4 linked regions of the Elephas maximus indicus genome follow. The protein of the gene in region 1 interacts with the protein of each later gene in a pairwise test. Links are inferred from orthologs where the notes say so. Each region holds a gene or a part of one and is shown in the gene's direction. Other genes may lie near its edges.

What was found.
Region 2: the proteins of NUDT18 (region 1) and EVI5L interact in binary tests that used the Homo sapiens proteins (3 or more experiments, as listed by UniProt). The two-hybrid records come from large-scale screens. The link is inferred for Elephas maximus indicus from reciprocal best matches to the Homo sapiens genes NUDT18 and EVI5L.
Region 3: the proteins of NUDT18 (region 1) and GLUL interact in a two-hybrid assay, tested with the Homo sapiens proteins (2 studies listed by BioGRID and IntAct). The two-hybrid records come from large-scale screens. The link is inferred for Elephas maximus indicus from reciprocal best matches to the Homo sapiens genes NUDT18 and GLUL.
Region 4: the proteins of NUDT18 (region 1) and NT5C2 interact in binary tests that used the Homo sapiens proteins (3 or more experiments, as listed by UniProt). The two-hybrid records come from large-scale screens. The link is inferred for Elephas maximus indicus from reciprocal best matches to the Homo sapiens genes NUDT18 and NT5C2.

The regions. Positions count from the first base shown.
Region 1 is NC_064840.1:52,592,482-52,600,314, forward strand, and holds the start of NUDT18 (8-oxo-dGDP phosphatase NUDT18), read left to right. Parts: upstream 1-4,827; 5' UTR 4,828-5,016; coding exon 5,017-5,178; intron 5,179-6,481; coding exon 6,482-6,695; intron 6,696-6,919; coding exon 6,920-7,515; 3' UTR 7,516-7,833. UniProt on the Homo sapiens protein: Mediates the hydrolysis of oxidized nucleoside diphosphate derivatives. Hydrolyzes 8-oxo-7,8-dihydroguanine (8-oxo-Gua)-containing deoxyribo- and ribonucleoside diphosphates to the monophosphates. Hydrolyzes 8-oxo-dGDP and 8-oxo-GDP with the same efficiencies.
Region 2 is NC_064821.1:12,570,084-12,577,516, forward strand, and holds the start of EVI5L (EVI5-like protein), read left to right. Parts: upstream 1-4,433; 5' UTR 4,434-4,579; intron 4,580-7,433. UniProt on the Homo sapiens protein: Functions as a GTPase-activating protein (GAP) with a broad specificity.
Region 3 is NC_064842.1:45,558,959-45,566,853, reverse strand, and holds the start of GLUL (glutamine synthetase), read left to right. Parts: upstream 1-4,884; 5' UTR 4,885-5,090; intron 5,091-7,895. UniProt on the Homo sapiens protein: Glutamine synthetase that catalyzes the ATP-dependent conversion of glutamate and ammonia to glutamine.
Region 4 is NC_064834.1:54,711,405-54,718,969, reverse strand, and holds the start of NT5C2 (cytosolic purine 5'-nucleotidase), read left to right. Parts: upstream 1-4,557; 5' UTR 4,558-4,639; intron 4,640-7,565. UniProt on the Homo sapiens protein: Broad specificity cytosolic 5'-nucleotidase that catalyzes the dephosphorylation of 6-hydroxypurine nucleoside 5'-monophosphates.

The DNA.
Region 1 (7,833 bases):
CCCCACCCATGCCCTGAGCTCTGTTCACACCACCCTCATCCTCCCTGGGCCCTGGGCAACCCTTTGCACTGCAGGCATTGCTGGGCAAGGGGCCCTTGAAATCTGCCCTCTCACTGGAGAGCTGTGAAGTGTGGGGAAGGGATGGGACCAGGGGACTGCCCGGGCTTGGCTGGAGGGAGTGATTGGGGCGATGCCACCCTGCCTGTGCTCCTCCCTCCCTCCGTCCTCTCTCCTTTGAGATTTCCATTAAAGTCTGTTGTTCTGTGAACGCTGCCAGTGTGGTTGGCACTGCTCATGCAGGCCACGTGGTCTGGGGAGGGAGAGGAGACATGGAAATTTGCTCAGGAGCAGGGGCAAATGGAGTGGGTGGGTGGGAACCTGGGGCCGGGGTAACAGGGACCGGCAGCACCTCTGCCTGCTCTTTTCCTGGGGGCCCAGGTCCCTGGCTCTCACTGAGAAGATAAAGCCTTCTATGTGGCTGCCCCCCAAAGATGGCTCCTGACAGACACAGCATTGAGGCAGAGCCCTGGGGCAGAACAGCACTGCTTCCCTGGGCAGCAATGGCCCGCAGAGACCCTGGATCTGCAACCCTCTCTGCAAACCCCAGGCCCCAGCCACCCACCTCTCCTGTCTGACCTGAGGTAGAGATCCATGCATGTGGCCCAGAGGAGCCCTTGCCCAGCGGGTCAGCCCTGAGTGCCTCAGACAGCTGACTGCCCCCCACTTCCCTCTGGTGTGACTCTGCCCCTCCACCCCTCTGCTTGTATATCTCAGCCCCATACATGCGCCAAGTATTGTTATACCTGATTGTTTCTGTGGTGGTTAGGGGAATTTTTTTATTAAATAATTTTTTTTTAAACGTTAATATACTTTAAGAAAAATTACAAAATAAGAAAAAGCCACCTGTAAACCCATCCCTACCTGCTCTAGGCTGAACCACTATTAGTATTTTGGTATGTTTCCTTTTGGTATTTTCCACAAGGTTTTGTACTTGGTTTCTGTCTTTTAACATTGTATTATAGACATTGTCCAAGTTGCTACCAAACCTTCATTGAAATGTCCCATTATATCCCATTAAGTGGTTTTGCCATGATTTATGTAACCATCCCCCCCTCTTTTTTTTAATTTAGATTTCTTCATTGTTCAGAAAGCTAGGTTATTTTTTTCATGGGATAAAAAAATAGAGAAGTCCTACACTTTACCAGGTACTGCACTGTGTTCATTTAAATTATTTCATATAATCTCTTACCAACATTTTGAGGTAGATGTTATTTCCATTTTACAGATGAGGACATGGGCAGATTAGGGTTAAGACAGTCACCCAAGGTCACACAGCTATTTGAGTGGCAGAACTGGGATTTGAACCAAGTTTTCTGACTCAAGCCATCTCGTTTACATTATAGTCTGAGCTCTTAATGGAGTTTAAAGATGGGTTTGCCCTCTTCTCTGTCCTCCTCCTTCCAACATTAAGCACTTTATGTCTGATCATGTTCCAAGTAGCCCTGAATGACCCATTCCCACTTACATTTCACTGTGTATAGCCGTGTCCTGATGTCACCCCAGAACCCAAAGTACAGGGTCCCTGCTGTGGAAAGATGGTGCTCTGAACTTTTGCCATTAAGGAGTCACTGGGCCTCTCTTCCCCACACAGACCTCCCCCAATCTGCATCACACCCCTACCCCATCATGGTGACCCATCCCAGAGGTCATATGTGGTCTGACTGCTTATAAACAGCAGGTGGATCAGTGTTCATTTGTTCCAGGGCTGGCCCGGTCCAGGTGGGCACGGACCCTGAGACTGGGCCTATGGGCACTCGATAGCACTGTATCTCATATAGGCTCGGCGGCTGCTTGACCCCAGTCTAGACCTGCCCTTTGGGCCTCTGCTTCTCACAGGCCTGTCCCAGCATCCCCATTGTCAATCTTCTGTTGTTTCCAGCCCCTCTCACTGGCCAGATTTCACATGTACAGCCCTCAGAGCTGGACATGAGCTCAGAGCGTGTATATCCCCTCGCATCCAATACCTTCTTTTTCTTATAAATTGTTTAGACTTTTTATTTTGAAATAATTTTAGATTTACAGAAGAGCTGCAAGATATGATAGAAAGTTTCCAATTACCCTTCACCCAGCTTCCCCTAATGTTAACATCTTATAAGACACCATGGTACATTTATCAAAAAAAAAAATTTTTTTTTTTTTTTAAGAAATCAACATTGATACAACTTTGTTAACAAAGCAACAGACTCTACTGGGATTTCACCAGCTTTTCACTAATGTCCTTTTTCTGATCCAGGATCCAACAATGCCTTCTTTTCACAGATGGCCTAGAGAATAGATGTGGTTCCTCTAAGGTCACTCAACAAGCTAGTGGCAGAGCCCAGCCTGAGCCAGACTTCTTTCGTAAGAGGGCCTGGAAGCTTGGGCTATGGCCCTCCTCACCTTTCATGCTTTGTTAAGAGACAAGAAGATTTGCTACTCTGTACATGCCTTTAGTGTCACAGATACTCTTGCCCCACCCTTGTCCCTGATGCTCCCTACTACAGGCCTTTCCGCACACGTGTTCACACGCACACACGTGTATGCACCTTGAAATGGCTGGCCCAGGCTTCTCTCCCATAGGTGTTGGGAGCATGGCACTGTACCAGTCAGGCTGTTCCTGTTCGCTCCACTGGTATTGCTTGAGTGGCACCCACACCAGCCAGTTTTCTTCCCTGTCTGGGAATGGAGGACACAGACCTAACTTGACAGAGATCTTTCTTGGTTCCTGGTTTTAGAGGACCACCCTCACTGGCTGGGTCTCTTTCAGCACCTAGCTGCCTCAGCCTCCGTGTCTTTCTATCTCAGCCCCTCTCCCTCCTCAGCTTTTCCCTCTTTCTGTCTCAGGGTCTCTTGAATATGCTCCCTTCCTCTCAATGCCTTGAGAAGAGTCTTTGTTGTCTCCTTTAGCATTGGGAAAGGGCTGAACAGTCCCTCCCATGTGTGCAGCCCTTCACAGTTTACAAGGGACTTTTGCACATTCCATTGCCTCATGTGATCTTCGCCACAGCGGTGATTAGGCCCACTTGGGGTAGCAGAGGAAGACTTTCCCTCAGTGATAATGGGGGGAGTGGAGCCGCGGTTTGTTGTAGTCTTCGCTCTTCCAGGCAGTTAGGCTGTCTGGTGTTTATCTTAGGCTGCCTTTGAGGCTCTCAGAGCCTTGCCCAGACATGACCTCACTCCCTCTCAAATCATCCCTGGGAGGCAGAAAGGCGTCTGGGACCAACGCTGTCCCCACTTCACAGATGGGAAAACCAAGGGATAAACACACACACATAGAGCAAATAAGTTAACAAGTTGCTCTGCAGTCCTGGGGTCCTGGCTCTCAGTCTTGTAAGTTCAGTTGTCTGGGAGGTAAGGAAGTCTTGGATATGGCTGAGGGCAGCAGCATTCACCAAGTGTCTCAAAAGTTCACGAGCCCACCGGGGCTGTCCTGCGGCTGAACATAGGGCCCTACCTCCAGGGAACTTGCAGTTAGTGTCAGTATGTATGAGAAGGGCCTAAAGAGGCAAACATAGTGTGGCTGGAGTTCCCGAGAATAAAGTTTAGTGCTATGGTGGCCCTGTAGGCATATTTCATGAGGGGGAGCGCCTTTTTTCATTGCAAGTCCTGTGGCCAGGAGGGCTCAGCCTGGAGGGTTGGGGGGCTGCCGGATGATGGCACCTCCCTCTGCCCAACACTGGACAGTGCACAGAGCAACTCCCACAACATCTCGCCTCACCTCCCAAACAACCCTGTGAAGAGTTTTTATGATTCTATTTATTCTACAGATGAGGAAACGGAGGCCCATAACTTTCCCAAGGGCATAGAGCAAGCCAGGGGCAGTGGCCAGACTTTCTAGCTTCAAGTCCAATGCTTTATCCATCTCACCACAGGCACTCTCTCAAAAGGGAGGGACACAAAGCCAGCAGGAGGGAAAGAGTAAAGGGGAGGCCTAAATGGAGGTGAGGAGCCCAGACTTGGCTTGCTTCATAGTTTCATTCCAGCTGGTCCAGACTTCCTGTCCTTTGAGGAGGTTAAAGGAAGCTCTGAGGAGGAAAGGTCAGCCTGGGAGAGAAGCAGAGCTCACCAAAACAACCCACACCCTGTTCTCAATGTGCCAGGCCCGTGTACTCGTGGAAGGAAACAAAGAGGAAGAAGCGTAACGTCCTACACTGATGAGGCTTGGCCGGCTGATTCCAGGCCCTCTCTCAGCCTATCCCCCAACCCCCCCGCCCGCCGTACCACACCTTGGTCATCCCGGAGGTGACCTCTCCCTTCTCCGAGTGCCTGTCACACCTCCTGCCACATCACTCATTTAGCACTTAGCTTATAACCCTCAGATGCCTTTTTTATATGTATATGTCCATCTCCCCAACTAGAATCTCCAACACGGGGGTTAGGTCTCCCCTGCCATGTGACATTGAAAGAAGAAAGTCATTTGGAAAGTGATCCTCTGGAGTAATGGCATTGCTTGTTTACAACAAAAGTTCCAAAGTGGATCTAAGCCGCGTGCCAAAGCCCCGTGACGTCATCGCGCTCGTTGTCACGTCATCGTCGCTAGCCACTGGGGCGTCTCTGCACCCGGCAGGCAGGATGACGTCACCTTCGGAACCAGTAGAGGCAAGTGCGCACTAAAGGAATGAGCGAGGTCGGCGGCGGGAGAAATCCGGAAAGACAGAGGAGGCTGCAGGAGCAGCCGACGCCCGGCGGGAGGCCGCGCTGCCCGGCGGCTCCCCCTGCGCTCCGGGCTGGCTCCGCCCCCTCTGGACTGGCTCCGCCCCCTCCGGGCCCTGCGCTGGCCAGCCAACCGGGGCCGGCCGCGGTGACGCGCAGCCTATCAGCGGCGAGGGCTCGCCGGCCCTTCCGCGTTCGCGAGCGCGCCCGGGCCGAGGCCGCGGCAGGGGGTGGGGAGAGACCGGCCGGCCACACGCTCGGCTCGCGTCGCACTGCGTCGGGCTGCTCTGCGCGGTCAGCGCCCGCCGCCTCCCACGGGACCCGATGGCCTCTGAAGGCCTGGCGGGGGCGCTGGCGGACGTGCTGGAGGGCGGGGGGCCGCTCGTGCAGAGCTGCGACTCGGTGCCGGCCGAGGAGCTGGTGGCCCCGGTGCGGCTGCGGAAGAACGTCTGCTACGTCGTGCTGGCGGTGTTCCTCAACGAGCAGGTGAGTGGCCGCGGCCGACCGCCAGCCCCACCGCCGGGCCTCTCGAGCACGCAGGCAGCCCAGGTGGAGACAACCGCAGCTCGCTTGTGTGTGGCATTTTCCAGTTTTGCAAAGCACTTTCACTTACACTAGCATTTGAGCCTGGTGCGGTCCAGGACTGCTATCATCCCGATGTACAGAGGAGGAAACTGAGGCCCAGGGGCTCTGGAACTCTTTCCCAGGTTTGTCCCCTAGGCCTCAGAACCTTGAGGGGAGGGCTGTCTTACTCATCTTCCTTTCCCAGGAGTCCAGTACAGTGCTTGGCACGTAGTGGGCTCTCTTGAAGATCGGAGACCTCCCCTGGGCCCCACGAATAGCAATAGCAGAACCCACACTTACACTCAGGCCTTCTGACTCCTGTCTAATGCCCTTTTTGGTACTGATTTTCCTGTACAAGTTGCTGTAATAACAGCTAGAAGGGGCCAGGACCATACATAGGGTTACATAGGGTTGAGGAAGGGCATGATTCAAAATGTAGCCATTAGTGAAAGGACGAGTCATAAGCAGTTAATCAACTATGTGGCGAGTCTAGATACATAGTGACAAATATAGACATGATTCAGCTCAGGACTCATAGTGAGTCTCACTCTGGGGCCACACGCCCAACCCCTGAAGCAACACCCAGGAATCTCAGCCCCTTTCTCAAGAGGAAGTCTTCCTGAATCTAAAACCAAAAAACAAAGCCGTTGCAGTCGAGTCAGAATAGTCACCCTGTAGGAGAGGGTGAAACTGCCCCATAGGGTTTCCAAGGAGCAGCTGGTAGATTTGAACTGCTGACCATGTTGGTTAGCAGCTGAGCTCTTAACCACTGCACCACCAGGGCTCCTTCTGAATCTGAAGAGGGAAGAATTACAGAAGGTACTCCTGAATAGCTCAACCATTTGACGGTGGCCATCAGAAAGGAGGACTCCCTGGGTGCTGCAAATGGCTAACGTGCTCATCTGCTAACCGGAAGGTTGGAGGTTTAAGTCCACCCAGAGGCACCTTGGAGGAAAGGCCTGGTGGTCTTACTTCCAAAAAATCAGCTCTCGAAAACCCTGTGGAGCCCAGTTCTACTCTAATACATAATGCATCACCATGAGTTGGAGTTGATGCGATGGCAGCTGGGTGTCAGGAGGGGCGTGTTAGGCAGAATGAATGTGAGATGTGATCAGGCCCTACAGCAAGGAAGGGCTTGGGGCTATGCTGCTCCTCTGGACTTCTCAGCACTGGAGCCCCCAGACCAGCTGTGGTGGGGGGGTGAGGATCCTCTCTTTCCCTTCAGGATGAGGTGCTACTGATCCAGGAGGCCAAGCGAGAATGCCGTGGGTCCTGGTACCTACCCGCCGGGAGAATGGAGCCGGGAGAGACCATCGTGGAGGCACTGAAGCGCGAAGTGAAGGAGGAGGCCGGACTGCAGTGTGAGCCTCTGACTCTGCTGTCTGTGGAGGAACGGGGCCCCTCCTGGGTCCGCTTTGTGTTCCTCGCTCGCCCCACAGGTACAGTATTGCCTGGTGGCAGGGAGCAATTGACACCTTTTCCCCCAGCTTGTCTTCAGGTGAGACGAGCCGAGCCCCTCCACAGCCAGCCCTCTTGTGGCTGGTACAAGCCTGAGAACTCTGGGCCTCCTCCCTGGGTCGGGGCTAGAGAGCCTGGGGGTCTGTTCTACTCTGCCGGACCAGGCACTTCTCTTTTGCTTATCCTGTCTCCCAAATCCCCTTAGGTGGAATTCTCAAGACTTCTAAGGATGCAGATGCAGAGTCCCTACAGGCTGGCTGGTACCCACGAACCTCCCTGCCTACTCCATTGCGAGCCCACGACATGCTGTACCTGGTAGAGCTAGCTGCCCAATATTGCCAGCAAGCTAGGCACCCTCTAATTTTACCCCAAGAGCTTCCCTGCAGTCTGGTCTGCCAACGGCTCGTGGCCACCTTTACCAGTGTCCAGACTGTGTGGGTGTTGGTGGGCACCGTGGGGATGCCTCACTTGCCCATCACGGCCTGTGGCTTCACCCCCATGGAGCAGAGGGGCGGCATGAAGATGGCCGTCCTGCGGCTGTTACAGGAGTGTCTGACCCTGCACCATTTGGCAGTGGAAACCAAGGGGTTGCTGGGACTGCAGCATCTGGGCAAAGACCACACAGATGGCATCTGTCTGAATGTGCTGGTGACAGTGGCTTTCCGGAACCCAGGTATCCAAAATGAGCCCCCGAAGATTCGGGGTGAGAACTTCTTTTGGTGGAAGGTAGTAGAGAAGGACCTACAAAGCCAGCTCTTACAGAGGCTTCAGGAGTCATCTGTCATCCCAGTCAACAGATAGGAAGGGGCCAGGAGTGGGCAAGAAGCTGCTCTCCTCCACCACGGCTTCATCTCTCCTCTGAGGGAGACAGGAAGCTGGAGACCAGGGATCTTGTTGCATTGGGAGCAGGGGCAGTTTTCTTGATTCTCAGGGGATTCCCATCTCTCCCTGGCTATGGAGCAGGTCCTACATCACACCCACCAAGAAGGACAGTGCCTTTAACCAAGCAAGGAGTCCAGAGCTCGGGGACCTGATTGCCCTGAGGGCAAACTGAAGCTATTTCATAAGGGGATGTGGGAACTGTCTGAACCTGAGATGTCATATAGTCATCATTTCCTG
Region 2 (7,433 bases), on another chromosome or scaffold:
TCCACGGGTCTTACCCCTTTGGGAGCAAGAAAGAATGCAGAAAGCTAAAGACATAAGGGAAAGATTGGTCCAAAGGACTGATGGACCACATCTACCATGGCCTCCACCAGACTGAGTCCAGTACAACTAGATGGTGCCCGGCTACCACCAATGACTGCTCTGTCTCTGACAGAGCTGGAGATAAATGTAGAACAAAAATTTAACTCAAAAAGAAAGGCCAGAATTTCTGGCCTGACAGAGACTGGAGAAACCCTGAGAGTATGGCCCCCGGACACCCTTTCAGCTCAGTGATGAGGCCACTACTGAGGTTCACCCTTCAGCCAAAGATTAAACAGGCCCATGGAACATAACAAGACTAAAGGGGAGCAATAGCCCTGGGCAGGGACTGGAAGGTAGCAGGGAACAGGTAAGCTAGTAATAGGAAACCCAGGGTTGAGAAGGGAGAGTGTTGACATGTCGTGGGGTTGTTAACCAATGTCATACAACAATGTGTGTACCGTTTAATGAGAAACTAGTTCGTTCTGTAAACCTTCACCTAACGTTCAATTAAAAAAATTATAAAGAAAAGAGGATTGGGTGATATGGAAATGTGGAGAGAAGGAATGCATTCTATTTATTTTTACCACTCGAGTTTTCAGAAATATGTTTTTGGGATTATCGTTTCCAGAATTTTAATAGATGCAGTATAGATAGAAAGGGTGTGGGGGGAGGAAGGCATACAGAGGCAGAGAGAGTTTACACAGAACCAGTGAGAGTATAGACAGGGAGACAGAGTGTAGACAGGGAGAGTGTAGACAGGACAAGAAGAGTGTAGACAGGGCAGAGAGGGTGTAGACAGGGCAGGGAGAGTGTAGACAGGGCAGAGAGTATAGACAGAGCAGGGAGAGTGTAGACGGGGCAGGGAGAGTGTAGACAGGGCAGGGAGAGTGTAGACAGGGCAGAGAGAGTGTAGATAGGGGCAGAGAGAATGTAGACAGGCCAGAGCTAGTGTAGACAGGGCAGAGAGAGTGTAGACAGCACCAATGAGAGCGCGGACAGGGCAGAGAGTGTAGACAGGTGTAAAAATGGCATGGTGGGGGCTTCTGACTTCCTCTAACTTCACGAAGGGGAGAGAGAATCACCATCAGCAGCATCAGCCCAAGGCTGATTCCTGTGAAGCAGAGGTCAGATATGCCTCCTCTCTCCAACCTTTTTACCTAATTCTGACACCAGCCGTACCTCCCGTGGCACTCTCTCCTTCTCTGCTGGGTTCAATAATTCGTTGCAATGGCCTCACAGAACTCAAAGACAATACTCAGGATTACGGGGTTTATTAGAGAAGTAACAGATTACAATTCAGGGTCAGGAAAGACTCAGGATACCATTCGTGGGTCAGGACAGCCTCTTCTCAGCTGTGCTCAAAGGCAGGCCTCTTTCTGGCCCTTGGCCCCTCGTCCCCTTGGGCCTCTTGGGCCTCTTGGACCTACCCTCCTTGGGCAAGAGATACAAAGTTCTTTAGCTCTGCCAATAAGTGCCTAGAGGCACCCCATTCCACCAGCAAGCCCGCTGCCCTGCTGTCCAAAGGCACTCAGCTCTCTCACTCCATGAGCCAGGAAGCCCACTGTGCCATCTCCTGTCTATCTCCTGCTGTCTCTGTTGTTGCTGTTTCTCTACCGCTGCTTCTCGTCATCTCTAGTGTTATAGTTCTCTGTCTCCTGGGTCTAAGAGGTTCATCAGTGCAAGGACTCTGGGTCCAAAGGAGGTGCTCTGTTCCTGTCTCTTCCTCTTGGTGGTAGTCAAGTCTCCCCGTCCGTCTCTGAGATGGCTCATTTTAAGCCTAGCAGGATGAGAAAACTGATCAATCCCCCTCAATAGGATTCCATACATCTTATTTGCATGGTCCTATCCCCACAAGAGTGCCATGCACCTTACTTGCATTACCAAGCTATCCAAACATCTTGGTGGGACACAAACATCTCATTTTCATAGTTTCACCCAATCTTTTGGTGGGAGTTTCAAGATCATGGCTAGAAAGCCAAAAAGCCCACTGCCATCGAGCCAATTCCAACTCATAGCAACCCTATAGGACAGAGTAGAACTGCCCCGTAGAGTTTCCAGGGACAGCCTGGTGGATTTGAACTGCTGACCTCTTGGTTAACAGCTGTAGCACTTAACCGCTACGCCACCAGGGTTTCCATCATGGCTAGAAAGGTCAAATAATATTGTGATCCATCGCACCACAACAGGGCAGAGAGAGTGTATAGACAGGGCAGACAGTGTGGACATGATCAACGAGAGGGTAGACAGGCCAGAGAGAGTGTAGACAGGGCAGAGGGAGTGTAGACAGGACCAACAAGAATGTAGACAGGGGCAGAGTGCATGTGGACAGGGCAGGGAGAGTACAGACAGGGCAGAGAGAGTGTAGACAGGACCAACAAGAGTGTAGACACGACCAGCAAGGGTATAGACAGGGCAAGGAGAGTGTAGACAGGGCAGACGGAGTGTAGACAGGACCAAGAAGAGTGTAGACAGGGGCAGAGTGCCTGTAGACAGGGCAGGGAGAGTGGAGACAGGGCAAAGAGAGTGTAGACAGGGCAGGGAGAGTGTAGACATGATCAACGAGAGGGTAGACAGGCCAGAGGGAGTGTAGACATGACCAACAAGAATGTAGACAGGGGCAGAGTGCATGTAGATAGGGCAGGGAGAGTGTAGACAGGGCAAAGAGAGTGTAGACTGGGCAGGAGAGTATAGACGGCAAAGAGGGTGTGGGGCAGGTACAGAGAGAGTGTAGATGGAGCAGAGAGTGTAGACAGGGCAGAGATTGTAGACAGGGCAGAGAGAGTGTGGATGGGGCAGAGAGAATGTAGACAGCGGCAGAGTGTAGACAAGGCACAGAGAGGCGCACAAGGGCAGAGAGAGCTCGACGGATGTCGGGCATTTCTCCGAAGAGCAGAGCCCCCTACTGTTAGAAGGTGGAGATCTCAGCCTTAGAAGGTCCTGACACACCCCACTCAGGGTCTCAGCCTTCTGGATCCTCCCTCCGTCTCCCTATTTTCAGCCCCAATTTCGGTTTCAGGAGTCTTGGTGGCGCAGTGGTTAAGTGCTGGGCTGCTAACCAGAAAGATCGGCAATTCGAATTCACCAGCCCACCGAGGGATAAAGATGTGGCAGTCAGCTCCGTAAAAATTACAGCCTTGGAAACCCTACGGGGCAGTTCTACACTGTCCTATAGGGTCACTATGAGTCGGAATCGGGTTATTTCCGACTTCTGTCATGCTACAGTCTGTTCTGTGATGGAGTCCTTCCCTGCCCCGCCCCCTGACGACCCATCCCTGCATCTTGGCGTGGAAGCGCGTTGTCCTTTCTGCTGAATGCCTTTCTGCCGTCAGTGCCTGTCTCTACATGTCCTTCCCCAGCCTGAGCGGCTCTCTCCCCTCACATCCCTGTTAAGAGTCCTAGTCCCACCATTCATATAGTCATTCATTCACTTATAAGCTGTTAGGCAGCGCTGGGGACCCCAGGGAGCTCTGACCTAGGCCCTGCAGCCCCCTCTGAGAGGAGCTATCAGTTTGGGGTGGGTAGGCGTTGAGTAATAACACGGTGTGATCGGTGCTTTGATGAGGGACCGTAAGGCACTGTGAGCCTCGGAGAAGACACTTCACCCGGCCTAGACTAGGGCAAGGGACGGCCTTGAGTCTTCTGTGTGACCCCAAGTCCCGAGCTCAGACGGGATGCGGTCCCATCTCTTCCCCCTCTGCAATTAGGGATTTCTTGGTAACGCCCCTTCTCAGACCCACCCAGTTAGTCTCTCCCTAATTTGATTTCGCCCCTAACCCGTGTCGGCCTAGGCCCCGCCCCCTTAGCCCCGCCTCCATTTCATTCACCCAGTTCTCAAGCCCCGCCTCCCAGGAGACAAACCTCACACCAATCTCACGACACCATTGGTCAGAAGGTGTCACTTCAGCTCCCTCCTTCAATGTCATTGGCTGACTGGATGTCAATCTTTATAGAGCCCCAGCAGTTGCCAGGGCCGAAGTTTGAGATACAGATAATAATGGACGTCTCGTTATTGGGCAGAAAGCCCGGATCTGGGCGGGGCTTAGTGCCAAATGCTTGGCTTCTTCTAGCCGGGGTTCCTCAGAGCCTCAGCCTTGCCTCAGAGACACACCCCTCTTTCCCCGCTATTGGTCCTGTCAGGTGTTGCTCAACAGTATTCCTCATTTCCATAGGCAAAGCCACCTGTCCGTCATTGTTTCCCTAATTTCAATTCGTTTCTCTCCTAAGAGGCGTCAAACTTCTGACCGTAGCCGGGGCCCTCCTCACGGAATGGCCACGAATTGGCCAGGCCCCCCGTCACTCCTGATGATGGGCGGAGCCAAGGGGCCTGGGTGTGGCGGATTGGCTGACCGGGCTCCGGGGGCGGGGCAGCGGCTCCTGTCAGCGGGTATAATGGCAGCGGCGGAGCCGGCGGCGGCCGCGGTCCCGGGGGGCGGCTGAGGGGGCCGGGCCCGGGCTGCGGGGCGAGCGGCGCGGCGGGGATCCGGCGGCTCGGCCCGGGACGGCGAGGCTCCGCACGGCGATGGCGGCGTGCTCGGCGCAGGTAAGGCGGCGTGGGCCGGGCCTCCCGGACGCCTTCTCAGGCCGGCGGCTCTGCGCTGCGGCCCGCAGGGGCCGGGCAAAACCGCGACTCGGGCCGCCCCACCCGGCCCTCCTGAGAGCCCGCGCTGGGAGTCCCGCACCCTCGTCCTCGGGCCCTGACCCCCGCCCACCCTCGTTCCCCATCGCTCCGCACCCTTTTCGAATCCCTCGGGACCACCCACCTCCCACTACGCCCCCCTTCCTGTGAAGGTCTTTCAGGCCCATGACCCCCACCCACCCTCCCCCCTGACCCTCAGGACCCTTCCCCAGACCCTTCAAGCCTCCCCCTACCCCCACCCGGAGACCCGCCCACCCCCAAAAGGGCCCCGCTCTGCCCAGGACCCCCACACACCCTCTGTCCAGATCCCTCAAGACACCCCTGCAGAACCCTTGCCACACCATCCTCCCCTCACTGTACCATCCTCTGACCTGGACCAGACCTGCCCCCACCCCCAAGGAGGTGGCCTCAGGGTCTGCTCCCACCCTTCTGATCCCACAGGACCCCTCTCTAGTCTCTGGAAATCAGGAGTCCTGCCACAGGCCTCTCCTCAGCCTTTTGGCCCACCTCCTACTCCCAGCAACGGGAGGCTCAAGGGCACCCCCCAAATCCTCCTTCCATATCCTCCCAGCACACTCCAGTAACGTCACACACACCCCTGATCCTGACCCATCTTCCTAAAAACCTACCTTCACCTCATGCTCAGGACCACCCAACAGTCATTCAGGAACCACTCACCCACCCACCCACCCACATACACACACACACACATATCTGGGAGCCTCCAGTTCTACACAGAGAGATAGCCTTGAGCCCCAACTACTTATACTGACAGATACCCAGACCCCCAACACAGAGACACCAGGAGATGCCAACACGCATTCCAGAGTCCCACAGACACTTGGATCCTCCAGCATATACAAGAAACCCAGAATGTTCCACATAGATCCCCCACCGTACACAGACACACCACGCACACGCACACAGAGGACGACCCTCAGCACTTACACTGCCCTGGGTCCCACCTGACCAGACCCTCCCAGACCTCCCAACAGGTCACAGTTCAAGCAGAGATTCAGAGACTGTAGGGGACTGGCCTGCTCCAGGTAACCAGCCTACCCAGCCACACCAGCCTCCCTGGACCAGACGCTGCACTGGTGCCCTGGAGGGTGGCAGGGACCCAGAATCTCCTAGTGCCCCGTGGGCACCAGCCCCTTTATCCATCTCAGCCTGATTTGCCTTCTTCAAAGGGAAGGAGACTCACTCCTCCTCCTACACCAAAGTGTCCCAAAAGGAACCACTGCCCGCCCCCTAATTTATGCCACCCTCTGTGGGGAGCTCAGACAGTGCCTGGCCCCAGTCCTGAAGTCTGACCAGACTGGTAGGACCAGCATCCTGACCCCATCACGCCTGCTGGCCTCAGCCTGCAGTGCCCGCGCCATGGTCGGGGCTGCTTCTTGCACTGACTCCTGTCGGCCCACTGGGTTCTTTCACCCACGATGGGTGTGCTTTGCCAAAATGAAACGGCTGCCTTCTATCCTGGCGTTTAGGACCTGTGGGCTGGGTTTGGCCTGCCAGAAGCAGGCATCTCTTTGTTAAGGAATATTTCCAGAAGGGAAAAATGTGCTGAAGAGGCTCGGGTGGAGCGTGAGTGTGGAGACTGCTCGGTGTTGTCCCTGGGCCGGGCTGTGACTGAGCTCAAGGACCTGTTATGCAGCCCCCCTCCCACTCATCCTTCCACCCCATGGTTCTCACCCTCTGGTCTGACCCGTGGATTCCCCTGGGCCTCTGTGGTCAACTGCGGGTGGTTTGGAAGGAATTGCAGATGGCTTGGCCCTGGCACACGGATGTAGCGAGACAGGAGAGGAGCAGCCAGGCCATTTGAGATGGTGTGCCTGCAACTACAGGGCTTAAGGAGGAGCCCCAGTTCCCATGAGTTGGACCCAAGATCAGCCCAGCCCGATAACCACTTGTCTGGGGCCCTTCCCATGACCCAGAAAGCCCCAGATTAACAGGCCTGGGCTTTCTTGTGGATAGTCACCAGTGTATCCTAGGTAGCCCTGGACAAATCTCATCTTGGCTCAGTGCCTCAACTTCCCCACCTGGAAAATGAAACAGAAATCTTTGGCACAGTACTTTGACCCACTGAGGTTAGGATATGGCACTGAATGTTCTCTGGGCATTTTGTGGAAGGGAACAGTGGCCTCTGCCCGTGTAGTCACCTGTCTGTAGATTCTAACAGAGCCACTGGCCGCCTCAGCCCCCCGGTTATTATAGGATGATGCCTTACTGGATACTAGCCGCCACCTTGAAGTGGCACTGGTGGGATGAGGGGGAGAGATGGTCTGTTGTGGGACATGTGGCCTCACAGGGACCCCTGGGGGACTGAGGGGTAGGGGGCTGCTTGCTATCCATGCAGACACCCCACATAGACCCCTGACACCAAGTGAGGAGAGGTTTGTTCTGTGCACTTACTGAAGGTCATGTGGCACCCAGGAAGCAAACCTCACAGCCTCCCCAGGGTGGGACTCTGTGAGGACAGAGCCATGAGCTGTTTAGGAAAACACAAGAAGGCTCCTGAGTGAGCTGTAAACTATATCAGCATGGTCTTATGCTAGACTAGGGGCCCAGACCTACTATTTGTGTGCATTGGCAGGTGCAGGCATACAAGGGAGAGCAAGGACATCCATTCCTCACACAGGACACAAATGTGGGAAGCCCTGCCATGTACCAGGACTTGAGTCAGACAGGGGCTGGGCTTGGAGACATGTCAGATATGGTCCCTGCCCTGCATCTAAAGACTGTCTCCATATCACGA
Region 3 (7,895 bases), on another chromosome or scaffold:
ATGTAGGATAGAGAAGTCCCTGCAGTTTATCTTCCTCAGTGGGTAGAAACGGATTTCAGGATTTTAGAGGTGGTAGCCCAGGAACATAGCACCTACAGTCTGAGGAGACTGGAGAAAGAGGATCAGAAAAGGGCTCTTAAAGATTCTAACTTAGAAGCACATTAGGCTCTGAAATACCGCCCTGACATGATTTAAGTAAGTCACTACAAGTTTTCTAGGCCTCAGTTTCCCAGTCTTTAAGACAGGATGGTTTGAAGATCTGATTCTAGTATTGCATGGCTTTAATTTTCTCAATAGGACTTATTTCCCCATGTTCTTAGCTAAGTGAACTTCATTCTCCCCAACTCTCAAAGTGGTTTCCCATTAGAGACAAGATTTGGGGTAGGCGTCGAACAGAGCGAAACCTTCAGTCATAACACGAGTTTTGGGAAATGGAGTTTTCCCTGTATTTCAATGATTTCAACAAGTGTTCAACAAACCTTACATTGGGCCGCAGAGAAATGGCTGAGGCTTAAACTTCTAGCTTCCTCTCCTTTCATCAAATAATCAGAAAGGATATAAAAAATAAATTCTCTGAGCCTACAGTTAGGTACTGAATTGAAGTATGACCTGGTCTTTTCTTCTTTTATTGTGCAGAATAAATCTGGAAACTTGGCCACCTGCAGCTTCTCCATAAAATATGGTCTAAGAGTAATGCTATCAACTGCTAGAGTTGTCTTTTTCTCTCTTTTGTTTTTGCTTTAAGATTTTACCGTAATCTATCCTTTTGGAAAGAATTGGTGTTGGTTTATTCAAAAACAGACTAGTTTATAATTCTGGGCTGGGTTTCCAGGATGTTCCTCAGTCCTGATTCTTAGCCGTGTCTCTTTAGCCCAATTTAAGGCTTTGCTTGAACATTCATCGAAATCATCCAAATATAGAGAAAACTTCCTATCTCCAAACTGCACACTATGGCCAAAGGTTTGGGTTGGCTTGAGCCCTACTCATATCTTGTGAGTGTAAGGCACCCGCACAGGCTCTAGGAAAGCACTGTCTTGTCACCAGGTTATAGGGTTCAGACCTGTGAATGAGAATGTCATTGTCGTTAGTTGCCTTTGCGTCGATTCTGACTCGTGGTGACCCGTTTGCAGAGTAGAACTGCTCCATAGGATTTTCAAGGCTGTGACCTTTCCGAAGTAGATCACCAGGCTTGTCTTCTGAGGCGCCTCTGGGTGGGTTCGAACTGCCAACATTTTTGCTAGTAGTCGAATGCTTAACTGTTTACACCACCCAGGGACTCCTTGAGAGTGAGTCTAGGTCCTTTAAAGACCTAGAGAAAGACGCTGAGAGGACAACTCACAGGTAAAGCCCACCCAAGAGAAGGCCTTTATTTCAGGCAGCAGAACAACACTGCAGAAATGTTTTCCATCTCCAAACATTTCTGCAGATTTGGAGCAAAAGTTTTACCTGCAGTGCTGGTCTCCCACTCCACCCACCCTGTGGACACAGCTACTCTTCTCTAAGACAGAAAAACATGACTTCAAAGTGCACGCATTAGAACCCCACCAGCTTTGAAACTGTACATACCAAGAGATAGAAAGGTTCATGAGTTCAAGCATTCTAAGGCTCTTTTTATGGAGGGGTGGAAAGTGGGGGTGGGTGGCAATTTAGGGAAGAAAGGGAGTGAGAACAAAGGGCAGCAGACACAGCAAAGTCAAACTGGATGAAACAGGCTGTTCCACTTTTAACTTCTCTAAATGTACAGTCTGGGTCTCTGGAGGCAAACCGGTCGGTTAAAGGACTTCTTCTCATGCATTCTTAGGCTTCCCTGGTCACTCCTTGGACTCACTGGGGCCCTAATTCGATGGGCTTAAGAAAGTGTGGGGCTGACCAAGGAGGACAAGTCCTCTGGTTCACTCCGGAAAGAGTCAGTGGTCGGGTATTATGTTCCTATCCCTCACAAAGCACGCCCCTTGTCACATGAACGGATCAAAGCAAATCCATTTCCATTCTTGGAAAAGCAGCTCAAAGCACTGGTTCTCTTGATGGTGCCGCTGTCACTTCTGTGTAGTCAACAAACATCACTTACTGGACACTGTTGGGGGAGAAAAAGATGAATAAGCTACTCCAGGAGGTTAAAATACTTAGCAAGGAAAGTAGGCACTTGCATCATAAAACGCGACACTATAAACTAAAAAAAACTGCATTTGCTTCTTCATATTCCACCTTCCATTAATGCTTGCCATAAACCACGGCCTTCCAGTGCAGTGGCTGGTGGTAAGGAGTGCTGTGGAAGTCGGTGGTTTATGGCTTGGCAGTTTGGTATCTTTGTAAATAAAAACATCACCTCCCCCTCCATCCAACCATTTAAACTCAAGACTTCACAGAAAGAAATGGAATGAAGATAGCTCACTCTGTTCCCAGGTGTGAGCCCACTTTCATAAAACTAATGGTGGTATATTTCACTGAGTTAGAAAGTTGCATTTAATGGGTCTCAGTGAACGGCTGGTATATGGAAGGAAACAATCCAATCTTTTCAAATTATCTTGGCCAATAATAATTAAGAATATTTTCGTAAATATTTACTACGTCCCAGGTACTATCCTAATCTCTTTTACATGTGTTATCACAATTAATCTTCACGATAAAGTAAAAAACCGGTTCCCATTGAGTCAACTCTGATTCATGGCAATCCCATGTGTGTCAGAGTAGAACTGTGCTCCACAGGGTCTTCAATGGCGGATTTTTTGGAAGTAGATTGCCAGGCCTTTCTTCCAAGACACCTCCGTGTGGAGGAACCTCCAACCTTTGGGTTAGCAATGGAGCACATTAACTGTTTGCACCACCCAGGGGCTCCACAATAATAATTTTATAGGCAAGGAAACTGAGGTTTAGTGTGGCTAAGTAACTCAGTCAACACAAAGCTAGTAAGAACTAAAGCCCAGATTTGAATCTAGGTTTGTCTGACCCAAAGCCCAGCCTTGAACTACCACGTTATAATGCTTCAACATGCAACACTTAAACTTAATTTGGAATCCCTTAGATTTGTGAGGTGCCTTACTGTGTTTTTTTTACTGTGTCCAGAATGCCATCAGTTTGAAACATTCCAAAAGCCCCTGTTTGATATGAATGCTGTATTTATCAGTGAAAAGCATTACAGTGTTAGACACACTTTTAAAGGAAAGAGATGTTGATCAAAGAAGCCAAGTTATGTGTGTGGTTACAGGCAATATTTCTTTTCCATATTTGTGGTACAAAAAATAACCAGAAGAAACTTCTTTCCTTCCTCTCCCGAAGGTACTGGGAGCACGGACTCTTGGCCTTCAAACAGAAAAATTGCAAAGTCTTAAAGGCTGGAGCTTGCAACAAACCAAAAAACCAAACCCAGTGCCATCCAGTCGATTCTGACTGAGCTCGCAAAAGATGCAATAAAGGTTAGAAACCCTGGTGGCCTGGTGGTTAAGTGCTATGGCTACTAGCCCAAGGGTCAGCAGTTCAGATCTGCCAGGCACTCCTTGGAAGCTCTATGGGGCATGTCTACTCTGTCCTATAGGGTCACTATGAGTTGCAATCGACTTGACGGCAACGGGTTTGGTTTTTATTATTATTTTTTAATCATCAGGTAGACTTTGGGCAATAAAAATAGAACGGCCAAGTAACAGGACTGGTAGCAAGAACAGTATTTTAAAAATAGGATTACTGTGCATCTGTTGACAAGCATCCATTTTCAAGGCTGCACTCACATGTTTTCTCAACCATCACCGCAAGGCTGAGAGGAGCAAAAGCCAATTATTCCCATTTTATAGATTTAAAAGAAGGCCTAAGTTACTTGCAAAGCAAAAACAGGGAGAATTTAAGGAATTCTAAACTTTTGAGGAACCCTGGGCTACCGCGGGGCCATGAGAACACCTCACTTTCATCTGCTCTTGGGGAACAGTTTGCATAAAAGCACAATTTCAAATCTGGCCAGCAGCCCTAAAGGTCCCTTCAAACTGCTTTGTTTTGCATATGAAGAAACGGGCCCAAGGAGGCTGAGTAACTCGATTAAGGACTGACAGAGACCTTCTCAGACAGGTCTCCTGACTGTTTCTACCGCCCGCCGAAATCTTCTCAATGGAATTATATAAACACCGCAAGATGATTAAACATGTGAAATAGCAGAGTTCTGTCCACTTCCCCAAAACCCCTGAGAGAACTGGGGAGAGGGCTCTTCGTGGACGCTGGAATCCCGGGCCTCCCATCAGCAACCCCCTCTGGAGCCTTCTCGAGCCCCGCACTCCGACGCAAACAACCACGAGCGGGCCGGTGGGGCGGGGGGCTGGTCACTAACACCAAAAGCCAATATGTTTCCGTGGTTCAGAATTTCCACCTCTGGAGTCCGCGGTATGACCTCGTAAAAGATGAAATTCTCCTTGCAAAAAAACAAAACTATTCAACCCGAAGGCAGCAGCGGCGGCTGCCCGGGGAGGTTTTCTAGGAGGCTTGGAACTCGGGGCTGGGGGGCTGCAGGGCCAGACCCAGGTCGGTGCTCTGGGCTGGGCGCGGCGGCCCGGGGTTGTTTTGCTCAAGCCTGCTGCAGGAAGGGTCCTTCCTCGGCGGGAACCAGCGCCCTCCGCGCGCAGCCAGCCGGCCAGCCCTTCTTCCCTCCCCTCCTCCCCAAACCCTCCCCTCCTCCCCAAACCCTCCCCTCCTCCCCAAACCCTCCCCTCCTCCCCAAACCCTCCCCTCCTCCCCAAACCCTCCCCTCCTCCCCAAACCCTCCCCTCCTCCCCAAACCCTCCCCTCCTCCCCAAACCCTCCCCCTCCCCCACGTCCCTTTCTCTTTCTTTCCCGGCTCGCGCTCCCCCACCCGGCGGCGCGCCCGCACCGCTCCTCGCCCAATGGCCGCTGTGCCCGGGCGCACATCAGCTGATCAGCCCGGGCTCCCGGCCGCTGGAAGCCAATCAGGGCGCCGGGGGCGGCCCCTGGCCGACGATAAAGGGTGTCCGGCTCCGGGCCACCCTTCAGAGCCGAGGATGGGAGCAGAGTCGAGCGTCTGACCTGTCTACCTGGCCTCCTCTCCTCACCTCGCTCTCGCGGCCTACTCTCCCTCCAGCCGGCTCGCCGCCCAGGTAAGCGCCTGGCTGCCCTCGGGGCGCGGAAAGCAAGCGTGCCTTTTCCCCGGCCTCCTCCCCGCCGCGGCCCCGCGGCCTTTTCTCTTTGGCCCCTTCCCTGCCTCCAGCCCCCTCCTCTGCTTTCGGCCCCCCGGGGGTGTCGAAGACGCGCGCGTGCTTCCGCCGTCGGTAATTCCGGGCGGACCTGGGCTGCCGTTTGTGGGGCGCGCCCTTATCAGGGTTTTGAGAAGGGTTGGGGGGGGTTGTTTTGATCTTCCTTCTGCTGCAGTGGCCCACAGGCAGGCCCTGGAGGCCTCGGCGGGCAGAGCCGTGGAGCCCCTCGCCTGGGCGGAGCCCTGGGCTCGGGGTGTTTAGGTTGTGGAGGGAGAGGCTGTGTTCCGCTGCGGGAGCGCACGCCGGGGCTCCTGGTAGGCGCGGGCGCCTCGCTCTCTTCCTCCGCGTGGTGGCGGGTTTTGGAGGTCGTGGTGGTGTTGATTATCTTGTAGACGCCAACGTTGAAGGGAATAACCATGAGTGTTTTGTTTGCGTGGCTGCTTCCCGCCCCGGAGACCGGGGAAAATTCTGGGCCTTCCACTTATGACCGAACAATGGGGAGCCCGGCACCGCGGCGTTACCCGGCGGGTGCGGCTAACGGAGAGGCCGGGCCGAGGCGGCAGCCGCGCACCGCCCCTCCCTCCGTTCATCCCTCCTGTCGCCGCCCCGCTTCCCCCAGCCTCTGCCCTCAGAGGAGAATGGCCCCCTTGGTGAGGCCCTGAGATCCAGACCCGGGGGGGCGGGGCGCCGACGTTCGTGACATTTCAGGGCGTAGGGGCTCGTCTAAAAGTGGATTCCAACTCCCCCGGGGGCAGGAAGCGGGGCCGCTCCCCTAGCCGCAAAGCCACAAAGTACGATGCGGACGACACAGAGTCGCGGTCCTCGGGGTCGCCCTCCAACTGCTTTGGGTTCGTCGCCTATTCGGTGAAGTCCGGAGAGAAATCGCGATTCAAGATTAAGGCCTTAACCCACCAGCCTCAGTATTCCAGCATCCCCCGACCCGAGGGCTCTCGGTCTGCATCTCCGTCTCCGTCCCCCTCTCCCAAAAAGATCCGGTGTCTGGACCAGCGAGAGCCGGAGATCAAGGAGGAGCGTGAACAGAAATCAAAAAAGAGGAGGGCTAAAATAGAGGGAGCCCCCGGAAATATTACTGACCTCCATTGGCTGGGGTGAGTGAGAGGGCAGAGAGAGAGGACTCCGGAGCCGGTGGCAGCTGCAGAAACAGCTAAAAGCTTCAGAGTCCCATTTTTTCCCCCACGTAAAACTTGGCACCGTGAAGGCACCAGTTGCTAAAGTAGACTAGGCTGCTGGCCTCCGCTTCTGATCACCAGAGAGGGCAGGAGACGCTTCACCTAGACTTAAGAGAAAATGTGGCTGGATTTTGGAGGTGAAACAAACGGGTTGGGGAGGAAAGCTGAGAGTGGAAAGCTTTTCTTGGAAACAGAAAGGATCAGGATCGTTCCTGCTGGTCATTCAGGCAGGGATGGGGGAGCGACGTGATTTGACAGACCAAGTCTTATAGATGGAATAGGCAAAGGAGGTTCTTTTCCCCAAGGGAGAAGGATGAGGCTGTTGGAAGAAGCAGTTATGTTTTCAGCTGGGCAAACATGGACCGTTGCCCATAGAAACTTTGCCACTGTACTTCAGAAAGTTACCCAAGTCATTGCAAGAGAAAGAACAATGTGTTCCCTTTCCAGCCACCCTGGGCCTTTGGTGGGGGAGGGAGGAGAAAACGTTTCCTCTTGTTTTGTGGCCTCTTCTTTCTGGTTTTTGTTCTTTTCAGAAGTTTTGTAGTGGTGGCTAGTGTGCCTCAGAGCTTTTGAAATCCCAGAGTTTTTTGGTTTAGAAATGGGAATTCCTATTTGAGAAGTTGTCTAGTGGGATCTCAAGAATATTGTCATTCTCAAACTTAAATATGAATGAGCCCATGTTCTGAAGTGACCGACAACTTTGCATCAGACCAATGGAAACTGTGGTAGTGTTCACCTTGGAATCCGAATTGGATTGGTAGCTGTTTTTACATCTTGGTGATTGTAATAACTGTCATCCTTTTATTTCATTTTTGTAGGAAGCCTCAGCCTTCTAAATCTTCTGGGTAGCCTGGTTTTTCATCCTTAAATCTAAATGGTTGGGTCTGCCCCCTACCCTTCAAAGGGAGGGAGAATCTCCAGAAAGGGGTTTTTATTAAGAACACAGCTAGAATGAAAGGCAAAGGGAAGATTCAGCCAGAAACCATAGCAGCCAAGTCTTTCTGTGTCTGGATTTTACTTTTATTGGGAGAAGAGAACAACTTTTAAAACATTTCTGAACCTTAATAGTTTCTTGTTTTTGCCCCTAGTTTCATAATATAAGAAGCTTTCTAAACAATTCTACCTCAGCTACACTGAGGGATAGGGGTTAGTCCTCACAAGTCTAGATTCTAGCTTGGGGAGGGAAGCCTTGGATTTGAAGAAGCTGCAGAACTTCAACTTCTGAGCCCAAGGATGCAGAGAGGGGTCAAGGGTTACCACCAATGGCTTGGTCTTTTCTCCAGTAAGTATCTGCTTTAATCTCTTCAAAAGGTGGTACTCAGATTTTATAGCCTTATAAAGAGAGTTTTATCTGATATAAAACTTTAATACCCCAGAAAGCACATTGGATAAATACACCTATGGGTATGTGACTTCAAAGGCAGTGGCCGCCACTCTCACCCTGACTTCTTGAGGGTAGTGTTTTCCTTTGATTTAACTGTCTCTCTTGAACCACCGCAAGGATTCGGTTTGCAGTTGG
Region 4 (7,565 bases), on another chromosome or scaffold:
AAGGAAATGTTTTCTGACCTTCTCCCCATCCCAATCCCAGCCCCCCTTTTGTTCTCCATCATATAGCATCCTGTACTTTTCCTGCATAGTGCTTATCAAAATTGTAATAAAATAATTATTTGAAGTCCATCTTCCCAAGCCATCAGCAGACTCCATGAAGGTAGAAACTCATGTCCATAGTGTTCAGTGTTAGGCATATGGTAGTGTTGCAGGGTAGAAACATCACAAAGTTTGGTAAAGCAAAAAGAAAGGTTTTATTTGGTATATGTTCAAAGAGGCAGAAGTAGGAAAATGGACAAGCATGCTGCTAGAGCCATGTCTGCTGGAGTCCAAGGAACATTACACAATCCTCAGTATATATTAATGTTACAAATGGGTAAAATCATTGAAAACTTTACATTTTCACAGATTGGCTAGAAACTGTGATCCTACATTTTGCATTGTCTTTCTTAACAATCATTGGTACAGGTTTCAGTAATGACAGTCAGGAGGGTCCTCATTGGTCCAACACATTTTCTATTCACTGATGATAATAGAAAAAGATAAAAGTGGAAAGTCTTTGGTGTTCTGTTTGATTTATGTGAAAGGTTCCCTAAAAGATATTTCCTAAGATTATTTTAGCTATTGTGTTTATACCTCAGAGCCCAGTTGATGTGTCCTTGTGAGTCCAGCTGCAGCTGGGTCACATTCTCTATGTTAAAGGACAGGGAATAATGACTCCAATATCATTTCTTAAATCAGTAGGAGTCAATGAATATTTTTGAATAGATGTAGGTGCTCCCAAGTCTTTCATGGATGCCCTGTGTCTCGAGTTGGACTACATATTTTCTAGTTACATGTTTTCTAATTGATTGCCTCCTTCATAATGTCTGTACTGGGCTCTTTTTGCAGTGAGTGCTGACCTGGTGGTGTTGGAGAAAGGAAGATGAGCAAGAGAGGGGACCTCGAGCTGGCTAATTGAAACTAAGATGGAAAACTTCCTGGGAGAAAGATTTTTGGGCAGCGGGAGGCTGCTTCTAGGCCCTGGGCCAGGGCGTTGAGTAATGCTTGTATTTCTCTGAGAGCTTCTTTCAAGAAGCAGAAAAACTGATGAGTGACCTATGAATGCTGTTCACATTCTGGGTGACTCAGAGTTTATGGGATTCTGGGGAAAACAGTGTTGATCAGAGTGGTGGAACAGCCATGTGGGTGTCTGGACAGGAAGTTAGGTGAGAGGCCATCTAGGCCACAGTAGTGTGGCCTTCCTTGCCAAGTAGTGCTCAGGTCCTTCAACTAATGTCAAGAAAGAGAGCCCGAGCAAACCCCTTGTGGCTCCTTATTGCCTCCTCAGGCCCCAGAGCTCGGTTAGAAGGTTGTTTCACAAGTTGGCATGACTTGTCTTACCCATAAAAGTTATGAGGCCAAATATCCTGTCCTTTTGCATTTAAAAAAAAAAAATTAATTTTTGGTTACAAAAGCAATACATGGATACATTTATCCTCTACCACATTACAAATATAACTAATCAGACTTTACTCTGATTTCACCAGTTTTTCCATTAATGTCTTTTTCTGTTCCAGGGTGCCATCCAGGATACCACATTGCATTTGGTCTACTCCAACCTGTGACAGTTGCTCAGTCTTTCCGTGTCTTTTATGACCTTGACACTTTTGAAAAGTACAGGTCAGGTATTTTGTAGAATAGCTCTCCATTTGGGTTTGTCTTATGTTTTCTCACGATTAGGCTGAACTATGCATTTTGAGGAAGAATTTTTTTAATGTCAATACTGTACATATCATCCTGCAGCTGGCTGTTTTCATTCAGCAATATGATTTTGAGATATATCTATGTCAAAACGTATAGATCACTCATTTTAACTTCTATATAGAGGTCCATCATATGTGTATTCTACACTTTATTTAGCATTCCCCTATTGTTGGGCATTTAGGCCGATTCCAGATTTTTCTTATTACAAGCAATACTGTAGTGATTATCTTTGTATATATCTCCATATGCACATGGAGTTATGGAAGATACCTAGAAGTAGAATTCCTAAAACATAGATTTAATAGATGTTGTCCAATTGCCCTCTGAAGTGGCTGTGCCAATTTATATTCCTTGACATTATGAAGCTTAACAGTTATGTTGCCAAGCTGAGTTTTAATTTGCATTTCCCCCATTTACTAGTGAGGCTGGGCATCTTTTTGTACGTTGATTGGCAGTTTGTATTTCCTTTTCTGTGACCTGTCTCTTTACAATCTTTGCTCATTTTTCTAGTGGATTATTTGTCTTTTTCTTATTGATTTGTTAAGAGCTCTTTATGTATTCTAGCGACAAATCCTTTGCATTATATTGTATATTGCAAATATTTTTCTCCTACTCTGTTATGTACCCTTTGTTTCCCAATTTAAGTTATTCCATCTCTCTGATTTATTTTTTGAAACAGAGTTCTTGATTTTAAAAGTAATACAAATGATGTAGAAAATTTGGGAAATTTATAGACAAGTATAGAGAAGAAACCACCTAAATCTTATCACTGACAGAAAATCATGATTAACATGCTTAATTACATACTTCCTTCTAGTCCTTTGTGTGTGTGTGCGCGTGCATGTGCATGCATGAGTGTGTGCAGGTATGCACACATTTTTCCTGCACAATCGAGATTACATTGCATATATGTATGCTTTATTCACTCACCACCATGGTCTTTATATACAAACCCTGGCTTTTTTCCCAAATACGCTTGGTTCAAAGGTGGGGTAAATAAAACTTTAGGCTAACTTCCAACTTCTAGTCCTTTTTTCCACATACCCTGATAAATCTAGTAGGTGAGAGGCTCAAGGCCTATCCTCAGCTGATCTGAACTGAAATTGGCTCAAAAACACAAGAGGGGGTAGTAATGCTGGAGCAGGGCACTTACTAAAAAGACTTGGAGGTTTTAGTTGACCATAAGCTCAGTATAAGTCAGTAGTGCAGTGCCAGGAACTTTATTGTAAGAATGAAAGACAATAAGTTCTTTTACAAGGCAGTGACAGTCCTGCTATGCTTTGGTGGGACCATAAACATTTAGTTCTGTCATGGAAGACATATTCTAAAGGAGTCACAATCAAGCCCACTAGGTACAGAGAAGACAAGGAGGAGGGCCCACAAAACTCACTGCCATCAAGTCGATTCCGACTGATAGTGACCCTGTGGAACAGAGAGTCGAACTGTCCCATGGGGCTTCCAAGGGAGTACTCTTTACAGAAGCAGACTGCCACATCTTTTTCCCCTGCAGAGCAGCTGATAGATTCAAACACCAATGGTATTGTTAGCAGCTGAGCTCTTAACCACTGTGTCACAGGGCTCCTTAGGAGGAGGGCAAAGACCCTCAACACTAGGACAGAGGAGGAACAACGGAAGAAATGGGAAATACTGATCTCAAATAAGAGAAAACCTTGGGCAGACAGGGTAGAAGTCTTCAAATATCTGAAAAGCAGAAGGTTGAAAATAGGTTAGACTTGTTTGTTCTCTGACGCTCGAAGGGGTAGAACCTAGGGCAGGAAGTGGAAGCTTCAGAAATATTTTCTAACTGGTCAGATCTGCTCTGACAAAGAAAGGCAATGCTCTGGAAACAACAGTCTTTCTGTTATCGAGGAGTCTTCATGCAGACTGAGTTAGTGGTGATGGTGGATTGATAAAATAAAACAAACCAACCAGTTGCCCTCCAGTTGATTCCAACATCTGCCAATCCCATGTGTAAAGAGTAGAACTGCTCCCTAGGGTTTTCAAGGCTTCGACCTTTCAGAAGCAGATGGCCAGGCCTATTCTACTGAAGGGCCAACTGGGTTGGTTTGGGCCAGCTACCTCTTCCTTTAATACAAAAAAAAAAAAAAAATCCAAACCCATTGTTCAGTCCATTCCGACTACTAGCGACCCTTATAGTCAAGTGTTTAACTGATTACTATGCGCTAGGATTGTGCTAAGAGCCTTACCTATGTTACTTCATCCTGTCAACGCCCTCTGATGTAGGTTCTCTCGTTATCTGTCCGGTATCTTATAGATAAGGGAGCTGGGGGTAGTGAGATCAGGTAACTCTTCCAGAGTCAGCTTATAAGTGGTAAAGCTGGGATTCCACACAGCCAGGCAAACTCCAAAGCTGGTGTTTTTTAATCACTAAGGAGATTCAAGCGTGGTACGGGGTCTGGACCAGGAGGGACTTGAGGTCCGTTGGTTTCGAAGACTTAGTGACCGGGAAAAGGATGCTCCCTCCCCCTAAGGGAAAGCGTCCAAGAATCATCCGAGACGCTGTGGAGAGGTAGCCCAGAGCCCTACGAAAGGACCTGGGGAGAATGCCAAGGATGGAGGCCTAAACGACTTGGAAGGGTTGTCAATGTACGTCACCGCACAGCTGGGCAACAAGCGACGTTCTGTTGTTTGAAGATTCCCAGGCCCATGTGAGGAGCCCAGGCGCCAGCCGTGTCGTCCCGCCCCTTTTGCAGCGCGGCAAGGGAGCGTCGCCGCGGCCGGATTCTGCGGCGGAGCAGGGGAACGGAACAGCGAGCCGGTCCCCGGCTGGGCGCGAGCTGGGGGCGGTGCCCGGGCAGCGGGGGCGGGGAGGGCGCGCGCCGAGGCGGCTGCGGCAGTTGCGCGTTGGGATTGCAGCCGTTCGGTGGGGCCGGTGAGTGCGGCGCGACCCACGGGCGGGAGGGGAGGGCGTGGGTCAGCCAGCGAGGGAGGGAGGGTGCGCGGCCGAGCGCGCGACCCCAGCTTGTAGCCGCCGCTTGCCCCCGCCCCCCGCCCCCGGCCCCGGGCCCCCGGCCCCGGGCCCTCGGCCCTCTTCTCAGCCCGATCCCCTGCCTGAGCGCCCGCGGACGGGGCGCCCGCGTCTCCGCACCGCACGGCCCCCACTCCTGTGCCGCCCCCGGCCCCGCGCAGCCCCTTCCTCCGTGTCGTGGCGACGCCCCCGGCCACGTCACGCCCGCGCCATTGTCTCCCTGAGGTCGGCTCGTTCGGACCCGGCCTTGGCGTTCGGAGCGCCGCCCTTCACCGGCTTAGAACCGACACCACTGCTCGGTTCCGCCCGCCCGTTTTCTTACCCGCTAGGCAGCCCCATCCTACTCGCCCACAGACACTCCTTCACTCAGTTCTGCTTATCTTTTCCGGCTGCCTCCGGGCTTCCTCCCCTCCGCGCTCGAGGCCACCTTTCCGTTCCTCTTACCGGGCCTGGGCGCGGCCACCCCCTTCCCACCCCCTGCGCTTTCCTGTGATTCGGGGAAACCCGAGGTCCCTTGTGGTAGGATGCGAGGTTGACAGTAGTTTAGGACGAACCACAAGAAACTGCCAACTTGTTAGCCCACATGCCCGTTTCCAGCACTTCCTGGAGAGCTCTCATCGAATTGCAAGCCACCCCCAAAAACATGATTCTTATTTCCAGATGGCTTCCAAGTCAGAGGTTCAGCTGTCCGTTGGCCCTCTTTTCCTTTCCTTTTCCTGGGGGACCCCTGAAGTCGGGGAGAGCCAAGAGTGAGATGCAGTAGGCCACAGCTTTTAAAAGCAGTAGTTAGATTTTGATGTCCAGTTTATCGCTTTCCCATACTTTCAGCTTTAGAGCCTTTATGTGTGAGAGTTTGTACTGTAAAGTACAGTGCTCTGAAATGGCTAGTCACCATTATGTTTGTGTGTGCGTGCACTCGGATGCACAGGTTCTTCATGACTGAACCAGCTTTATAATGTCAATGGACTGACAGTGCCTTTTGCCTCTTAGGGCAACGGGTGCAAACTCTGCGAAGTGTAAAGTGAAAGGCAGAATATCTAAGTAATGCTCTTTACCACGGAGACTTAAATGGGGAAGGCTTTATGTCTTAAATATTTGCCACCACCCTTTGAACAGCGGTTAGAATTTATCCAGATGAAGATGTCCAGGACTGGAGAAGTTAAGTTCAATTAGACACAGCTGCTTAGTAATTAAAATCTGAATTCCACGTGCTGGGCTGATGCTAGCACACACACACTTTTATTTCTGACACGTCATTCCACTGCAATATAAGCCATTACATCATAGCAGGGTAGATTGTGGTATTACTCTCCTCAGCCCAGAATTTAAAATTTAGAATTCAGTAACCAACTAATGTGTAAAATGAGGAAATGTTTAAGGTTTCATTTAACTTTAAAATTGGACGATTCCATAGTATGAAAATTTCCAATCACCTACAAGTTTCCAAAGGTTTAGAATTGTAGGAAGATTTATGGTAAGCCTTACTATTGATATCCAGTTGCATCTTCCTAAAAACAAATTAGAGTGTCACGTTAATGGAGGGACACACCTCTAGTCTATTTCTACTATTTTATGAGGAAAGGAACACACAAAATTTTTTTAAATGTGTTTTGATTGCTCGATTAGCTTAATTCAATGAAAGCTTAATTCAAAAAGCTTAATTGAATGAAATAGTAAAACAAACCAAAAAAAACCCAACTTTATTACATGCTTTTCATAAGACTGGAAACCTTGGTGGCGTAGTGGTTAAGAGCTAACCAAAAGGCTGGCAGTTCGAATCCACCAGGCACTCCTTGGAAACTGTATGGGGCAGTTTTACTCTGTCCTATTGGATCACTATGAGTCGGAATCAACTGGATGGCAGCGGGTTTGGTTTTTTGGTCTATAAGACTATGCTCTTTTCCAATTCTTATATAAACATGGTTTTTATCTACTTATAATCACTGTGTACAACATTACTTTGAATTTTGCACTTACCTACATTTGTGGGACACGCACATATCTAGAGAGTTTATTGCTTTTCATTTGTAGAGGCCCCGTTGTTGTTCCTTGCATTCAAGTTGATTCTGACTCATGGCGACCCCATGTGTAGAAGTGCTCAGTAGGGTATTCAATGAAGGCTGTGACCTTTCAGGAGCAGACTACCAGGCCTGTATTCTGAGGTATCTGTAGTGCATAACTGTTTGCACCACCCATTTCTTTATGCCCAGTAGTCAACGATGCCTGCGACACAGACTCTCAGTAAATTTTTATTGGACAGATGTAATATTTTGAACTGTTTAGACAACATCTGCTAACACAAATGTTAAATATCTCAAGGCATATGTTAAGTGACACGTGAGCAGTAAAGACAGAACTTTGAGCCAGGAGGCAGCCGTGTAACCTGGAAGAACTTAACTAACCTTAGAGAACCTACTCAGTTTTTCCTGCCTTGAAAAATAAATTTCACAGGGTTGTGTGGATTAAATGGGATTAATTCCACTGAAGGAAATTGTTCTTTATAAATGTTAGCTCTTACTTTTTTTTTTTTGGTTACAGTGGTGACGTAGTGGTTAAGTGCCACGCCTGCTAACCAAAAGGTCGGCAGTTCAAATCCACCAGGTGCTCCTTGGAAACTCTATGGGGCAGTTTTACTCTGTCCTTTAGGTCACTGTGAGTCGGAATCCACTCAATGGCAGTGGGTTTGGTTTTTGTTTTTTTTTAATGGAGAGAGATTACTGAAGGTTGGTTGGAATCAGCTGACACTTGAGAATAAGGAAAGCATGCTAAAGTGCGTATATTGAGGGTATAATGAAGATTGCTGTCTCTAAAACAAAGGGTTTGGTAGAGA